Linked DNA regions of Stegostoma tigrinum. Each later gene encodes a partner of the first gene's protein in a complex. Links are inferred from orthologs where the notes say so. Each region holds a gene or a part of one and is shown in the gene's direction. Other genes may lie near its edges. The genes, in order: wnk4a and klhl2.

Region 1 (3,915 bases):
CTGCTGTATTCATCCAGCTTTACACCTTGTTATCTCAGATTCTCCAGCATCTGCAGTTCCTATTATCTCTGCACAAATCCTTTAATCATTAGTGTCTGCTTATACTTTTTGTGTCCAATAGATGTAGGCACCAACCCTCTCAATTGTTGGGTAATAGGAGTCCATACAACAGAAGAGCCCCCAACACCCTGCTCCATTAGATTCTAATCACCTTCCGCTATCAACAAGGGGCTCTTGCGGTGCACAGTGTCCCAACCTCTGGGCCAGGAGGTCTGTTTTTTTCTGCTCCAGAGGTCTGTAATCACATCACTTTGTAGGTTAGTCATAAAACTTGCTCTGCTATAAACATTCCCACTTAGACTGGAAAACAGTGTTTATTGAGATCCACTATGTTCTGGATGTGAGTTTGCTCGCTGAGCTGGAAGGTTAGTTTCCAGCTCAGCGAGCAAACTCACATCCAGAAACTCATCCTGAGTTACAAATCTTCTCGAAACTCACTATCCACTATCTTATTCAGTTTAAGTCACTAATGGTGCAGTGGTGGTGTGTGTACCTCTGAGCCAGGGGCCCAGGTTAGAGTTCTCTCCTGCTCTGAAGAAGGGTGAAGGCCCAAAACTTCAGCCTTCCTGCTCCTCGGATGCTCCTTGGCCTGCTGTGTTCATCCAGCTCTACACCTTGTTATCTCAGATTCTCCAGCATCTGCAGTTCCTACTATCTCGGTGTCATAACAGGTTGGTTGAAATATCAAAGCCTGCTCCATGGAGCTCACAATAAAGACCATCTGGATCATGCTCTATCAGTGATAAGCAGCCTGATCTTACTTCCAGTAACGTCATACCGTCATCCGCCATCCAACAGCAACCCCCCCAACCTCAAGGGAAGAATATGTACACTTCAAACCGCACCCCCCCGATCTGTGTTGTGAGTTGATAGCAGCTCTGCTTCTCATGCTGGAGCCTCTGGCCCGGCTGGAGGACGTGACTGGAACTGAGTGAATGTTGCGCCCGATAAAGGAGAACTTTGTCCATTCAGATCCTGCTGCTTCACACAGTGCCTCTTTCTGGCCGAGTGCCTTTTGAAAAAAAATTCTGAGCGCGCCCAGCTTTAAAGGACGCTTTTCACTCCCTCCGCACTTTGTGTACTGATCTTTCAGCACGTGTGAAAACAGTAGGAATTTAAAGGGATGGTTCAGAGAGAGAGAGAGAGAGAGAAAGAAAGTAAAATTACCTTTCGTTTCCCCCCTGCAATTTGGAGAACCAAGTAAATAAACACTGAACATTACCCCCACCCCGGTTTCAACACGCCCCCATCCAAATTAGCGACAGTCTGCCCTGAGCCAATGGGCGGTGCGGGGACGGTCTGAGAGCAATATCAGGCGTTAGCGGAATTACTGCTGTCTCTAAGCACTTGTCAATTCAAAGTAGAGCCCCTTTTCATTTCCCTCTCTAAGTTACTTTCTATTGCTGATGGGGGGGGAGTGTCTAACAGACTGAAAGGGGCAGGCAAACGAAAGAATAAAAGTAGTGAGGAGGCAAATGTTTTCCGAGGAGCGGCTGGTGCAACATGAAACACGATGATGTTTGTGGTTGAATGTTGTGCTTTTCTTGAGACCGTGTCAGCGAGTCTTTCCTCAAGGGCTTTCCCTTGGGGTTCGAGCGAAGTTTGTTGGAGGTGGTTGAAGCATGTCCAGGACGATGTCCCAGGCGGAGGTGGACCTGGCTAGATTCGGGCTCATTACCTCGACCCTGGATCTGGATTTGGATCGTTCCTCCCACCTCAGTAAAGCGCAGAGCCGGCGGCGGAGAATGCCTGCCAGAGACGGCAGGAGGATCCCGTCCCGGTACCAGAGGAAACTCTCCGTCGACGTCGAGCTGGGAGCTGACGGTCTGCTTGTCCGTCGCCCTTCCCGAACCCTGGTGCCAGTCCCGGATAGCCAGCCCCCGCCGCCCGCTGAGAACGGGCCGCTAAAGGCGGGCGGACCCACTGCCGGCGCCCCGCCGGCTCGCCTGGCGCCCTCGCCGCTCCAAGCTGCTGCTGCTGCTGCTGCGGCGGCGGTGGTCGCGAACAGCTCGGACACGGAGGATGGCAGCCGCCGCTTTCCTCACAAGGACTCGGTTTCCGAGCTGCCCGAGGAGAGTAAGATGGAACCGGAGGAGAACGAGGTGGAGATGAAAGCGGTCGACACCTCCCCCGACGGCAGGTTCCTCAAGTTCAACATCGAGCTGGGAAGAGGTTCCTTCAAGACGGTCTACAAGGGGCTGGATACCGAGACCACGGTGGAGGTCGCCTGGTGCGAGTTACAGGTAAAACGATGCAGAGTCCGCCGGGCCCGTCACATCCCAGGCTGTAAGACCCAGGGATATTGTGTCACTCAGGAAAGCTTAAATACTGTTCAAGAAACTTCCACAACTTGTAAAGTGTTTTTTTTTGTCAAAGCATAGTCACCGCAACAACGTAGGGAACGCTGCAGCCAGTTCCTCACAGCAAGCCCCAAGCAGCAGCAATGTTGGCTTTTTCTGTGATTCGAAGTGTAAATATTGGCCAGATTTTCAGGGGCGTTATCCATTTACTGCAGAGGTTTCAAGTCTCATTCAAAGCCTACGGTCACACTAGTCTGAAAATGCCTGATTTTGGAAGCTGTGGCGTGATTAGTACTTGGATGGGAGACTGCATGGGAATATCAGGTGCAATAGGCTTTTGGGGTGGCACAGTGGCTCAGTGGTTAGCACTGCAGCTTCACAGCACCAGCGACCCGGGTTTGATTCCACACTCGGATAACTGTCTGCATGGAGTTTGCACATTCTCCCGGTGTCTACGTGGGTTTCCTCCGGGTGCTCTGGTTTCCTCCCACAGTTCAAAGATGTGCAGGCTAGGTGGATCGGCCATGCTAAATTGCCCATAGTGTTCAGGGATGTGTGGGTTATAGGGGGATGGGTCTGGATGGGATGCTCTGAGTGTCAGTGTGGATTTGTTGGGCTGAACAGCCTGTTTCCAAACTGTAGGGATTTTATGATAAAAGGCTGCAGATGCTGTAAATCAGGAACAAAATCAGAAAATGCTGGAGAAACTCCGCAGCTGCTGAGCTTTACAGCAGTTTCTGTTTTGTACCCTCCACGTTGTGTTGAAGAATCAGCTTTTTAAATTCCAATTATATGGGCTTGAACCCACAAACCACCTGACTCCAAGGTAAATGACCTCAACTGATCCAGACCCAATATCTCATGCCTGACTGTCTTGCAGGAGGATGTCTAATGTTAATTTTCTCTGTGGTTGGTTGCAGCAACTTATTTTTATGCTCTGCTCTGCTATCTCAGCCTAGGCCTTTGTCCTAGGACAGATTTTAAAAGTATATCATGAAGTCAGGAATGCAGTTATTCATGAGTTTGTCAAAAAAAACTGATGTGACAATACAGTACCTGTAACATTGCTCCTCTCTCAGCAATTAAAATATAAAATTTAGAGACATCAGCCGCTTTCATACACACAATTCATCAAGGTAGCTGCTGAAGGGATTGAAAGGTGCTCGTAGTTTCAAGGGACATTGCATCCATCTTGCATCAGCATTTCTAAACTTACATTGATATAACACTGAAGTTAGATCCTGACAAACCAGGGAATTTGTGCAGTATCTCTAAAAATTGCATAATAAATGTACCCTCGGACTGAATCAATGAGTGTAAAGACAAGATAGGCTTAGTCTAAGCTTAACACTGACTTACTTGTTGGTACAAGTATTATAAATTAAGCTTACTTGTCAGTTGGAGGGGCATTTATTGTACAGTGTGTCTGCTGGCTTAGCTGTGTAATCTGGTACATTACACACTTGAGGATTAGGGCATTCTGTTATTAGTTGACATGGGTGGAACATTGGTTAAGAAAGATATTTCCCCAGTTCACTCTGTTTTGTCAATTGCC
Region 2 (3,915 bases), on another chromosome or scaffold:
GAATTTCTCATTGCTTTTTACCTGCCTCAATGTCATTTTCCCAGAAAAAATAATGCATTCTTTCCACATACTGGTCTCAGTCTTTGACAGCAGGATCGACAAGTCAAACTTTCCACATAATGCCATGATGCCAGAAATGCATATCCCAAATCAAAGATGAATGTTGTGAACAAATTTCTTCAGGTGCACTTCTTTTTCTCTTGTTGCCACTGAAATAACTTCACAGAGGCCAGTGTCCCGTCACCAAGTCACTCTTCATTCACACGTGGAGAGTACTTGACACTCAGAACTAGACCTCAGAATGAACAGGACGTCTGACACTCCTGGTTATATTTTTCAGCCAGGGCTCCCTGATTGGACCAGATTAACAGCCCCAATCAGGGAACTCATATTCTATGAGAACTATCTTAATGACCTCCTTATATTCACTAAAAAGATCACAATGCCTCAGACAAGGTTGGGACGCAGCACCTTCATGGTAACTTTAGCCCTTATCTGTGAAACCCCAATGGCCCTAGAAGCCTCTAAGATATTGATACTTCTTCAGTATACTTCTTCTAATAGCACTATAGAAATGCAAGTTATTGTTGTCAACAGAATCAATAAAATAGTTGCTACGGAAACAGTGTCGGCGTACAGCAACAACCCAGTGACGAAAAAAGTGCTTTGGGCGAAACCTTATGCTGCACAAATTGAATACAATGCCGAGCGGTTTTGGTTTCACTTTAGATGTGCAATTGCTGTATGCATTTTTAAAAAGAAAATCTGGCAGAATCACGTAATTTCAGTACAGAAATCCTGCAGTTTGTTCTAAAGTACATGGTTTTAAATATGAAGCGCAGTTCAGCATTCACTGCCAAAGGTAACCTGGAGGCAGGCTCTGGATACAATGCCATACAGTCCTCTACAATTCCCATATTAGGGCTGCTTCTTCCAGGTCCTCCAACCCAGAGGGAGCTCCTGGTACGGCAATACCTGGAGAATATCACTTTTGACAGTCGAAGCGGAATAAAAAAAGTTGGAATTGGGAGGCAACTGGAAGCTTTCGGGGAGTGGGGGAGGGTGGAAGGAGGAGGTGAGGAGAGGAGCATTGTGGGGTATTGGAGGAGGAGATGGTTTGCAGGCGCCGCCTCCCTGGTTTCCCCTAAGGGTCAGGCTGAGACAGTCGGAGCAGCGGCTGCCTCAGTGACCGCCCGGGCAACAGCACAGACAATGGAACGCGCGCGGAGCACGGGGAAGCATCCCACGCGCCTCTGAGTGGAATGGTGCAGCGCGCCGAGCTCACTCAGCGCAGTCGGCAACAGGCGGAGGACACAATGGAGATACAGCAAATGTGAGTCTGTTAGCTCCAATCACAGCCAGGGGCAGGGCAGGGCTGGGGGAAACTCCGGCCAGGAGGGACAACCCGGCTTAGGGCGGGGGCGGGGGCGGGGGTGGGGAGAGGGAGGGTCTGGGTCATGCTTGGAGCCTCCCCGCTCACATTTGTGGAGAAGCGACTTTACAAATGCCAGGAGAACTGAAGTGGGGTCGAGGGAAGCACAAGCTGGAGTTTTTGATAGCAAATAGCAATGCGGTTGTTTCAGCATTTTAGCAATGCCGCAATTTAACTCTATGCAAAAGGGTAGAAATAAGTGAAAATTGGGAAGTGTCAAAGAGTTATAAGTCTGTTGGTGTTATAATTTAGTTTTTTTTTTGGGGGGGGCGTTGGTCAGAGATTTGAGCACCTGCCCATGATGTCCGGTAGCTGTTTCTGTAGTGAATATTCTGATGCATATATAGTTGCACTTTTTTTTTGGTTGAAAGATGTATTAAATGTAGGAAATTGTGTTGAGCTATGTTTTATTTCAGGGGGGACGAGCTGTAAAATTGTTTCACGAGTACAATAAAGAACGAACACTCAAGAAAATGTATATTTTTGGAGAAGATCAGTGCACCTCTTACAGTAGCAACTGTGTAAATGACAGTTATGTATTGTGGCATTGATACTAAAATTTCACTGTTTAGTGTGTTAAATTTTAATGCTTCTGCATTCAGAGCATCCATTCTCAATTTCAGTATGGCACAATGGTGGGCATATGCTTTAGTTGTACTATTGATTTTGAATTGTAAAGGGAAAGTAACACTGGAACAATATAACACCTGAACTAGTGGAAACAATTGAGGTGACGAATTAAGGGACAAGAAGCATATCTGTCTAATTCTGAAGCATGCGATCTTCCCTAATTCCTACTGTCAATGCTAGATTTGACATTGCAGTTTTTAATATTATCTTTGTAAACATATCTGTGTTACGTGTATTTTTTTAAATGCTGCCTATATTTTCCTTTCTTGGGTATGTGTTAAAGATAAATTTATAGATTATTTGTTTTATAGCCTGATTTTCTTTTCTTCCTGTCAACTGAACCAGATAATGGTACCATGACTGATTCTGTGGGTGAATGAACGATATTGTGTTGTATATCATTAATGCCTGCAGTGTGACTTCTAGATCTAGTTAACTAATCTTACAATTTGGGTATAATTCTACAGGTCATTTTTTAGTGATTTTTGGTTAGACAGAAGCAAAACTGCATAGGCTCGTTTTTCTTTCATTTCTGTGCATTGATCCTGGTTGTAGATGTATGTATATGCTGAGTGATGATTACTCCACTTGCATATTGCCACCATCCCTTGTTCCAATTGTTGGAACTCGAATGGATTGGGCCTCCGTAACCTGCCTCAAAGGTGTAAATTGGAGGCCTGTAACAAATACAAGTCTGAACATATTAATTTTGTGAGGGCAATTGCATGAAATATTCTGACAGAGGTATGTTGCGTTGAAGTCTGAAACAATTCTGCAAACACAGGAACTAAAACAGAAATTGCTGGAAAAGCTCGGCAGGTCTGGCAGCGCCTGTGAATTTCGGGTCCAGTGACCCTTCCTCCAGAACAATTCTGCGAAGCTTGTTTGGAAGAATGTATTTTATTTCAGTTTTTCTGGAGCAGTGAAATCAACCAGACATCCCCTGAACAAATAAAAGAAATGGATCCTGATCTGTAATTACCCTGGAAAGGCAGTGGTGTTAGCAGCCCTCGGTGTAGGGCCACCCAAGGTGCTTTTGGAAAGGAAGTGCCCTCCTCCCCTTCTCCTTCCCCCCCCCCCCCCATTAATCAAATTTTTGGGTTTAAGAATAAAAAGTGAGTACTAGGTTTTCGATCCAGCAACTGGACTGGATGATATAGTTTTGAATCGGGATGGGCGGGGGTGGTGGATCTAGCAGGGTGGTTGTGGTCCTATTTATCTGCTGCCCTTGCCCTTCTACCTGGGTTGAATTTATGTTTGGAAGGTGCTCTTAAAGGGGTCTGGGTGTTGTGCTGCTCTGCATTGATGGAACATGCTGCAGCCACTCTGCAATAATAGTAAAGAGGGTGACGGACTTCCAGAGGGTTGTGAATCTGTGAAATTCCCTGTCCAGTGAGGCAGTTGAGGCTACGTTGTTGCATGTTTTAAGGCAGGTGGAGCAGACTCAAGGGGCCAGATGACCTGTTTCTTGTGAAAGTTGAAAGTGGTGGATGGGCTGGATTGTGCCAAGGTTTTTGAGTTTTATGGATCTTCACCCATCCAGACAAATGGGGAGTATCGCGCCACACTCATGGCTGGTAGATGGTGGACGGTTTTTGAGAAAACGTGAGTGAGTTAGTTACCACAGAATTGAGTCACAGAATCTGTGCCCAGTTCAGTTTCTGGTCAACATTTGTGCCAGTAGTGGGGGATTCAGTGATGGTAATACCATAGAATGTCAAGTGGAGGTGGTCATTGATTAGAAAGATAGTGTGAAAGTTGCTGCAGCTTGTATGTTGTCTAGGCCTTGCTGCACATGGATAGAGATTACTTCAGGATTCGAGTTTTGTGAATGGCATCTATTGCGCTAAGTA

What was found.
Region 2: the proteins of wnk4a (region 1) and klhl2 are in contact, whole or in part, in a crystal structure (PDB 4CHB), measured with the Homo sapiens proteins. The link is inferred for Stegostoma tigrinum from reciprocal best matches to the Homo sapiens genes WNK4 and KLHL2. Residues at the interface, in NP_115763.2 of Homo sapiens: Glu557, Pro558, Glu559, Glu560, Pro561, Glu562, Ala563, Asp564, Gln565; in NP_009177.3 of Homo sapiens: Arg345, Phe361, Gly363, Ser364, Leu365, Arg366, Thr392, Phe408, Gly410, Ser411, Thr412, Gly413, Ser438, Ser439, Tyr455, Ser487, His504, Arg534, Tyr583.

The regions. Positions count from the first base shown.
Region 1 is NC_081384.1:15,201,466-15,205,380, forward strand, and holds the start of wnk4a (serine/threonine-protein kinase WNK4), read left to right. Parts: upstream 1-1,181; 5' UTR 1,182-1,682; coding exon 1,683-2,303; intron 2,304-3,915. UniProt on the Homo sapiens protein: Serine/threonine-protein kinase component of the WNK4-SPAK/OSR1 kinase cascade, which acts as a key regulator of ion transport in the distal nephron and blood pressure.
Region 2 is NC_081354.1:56,999,223-57,003,137, forward strand, and holds the start of klhl2 (kelch-like protein 2), read left to right. Parts: upstream 1-1,098; 5' UTR 1,099-1,262; coding exon 1,263-1,333; intron 1,334-3,915. UniProt on the Homo sapiens protein: Substrate-specific adapter of a BCR (BTB-CUL3-RBX1) E3 ubiquitin ligase complex that mediates the ubiquitination of target proteins, such as NPTXR, WNK1, WNK3 and WNK4, leading most often to their proteasomal degradation.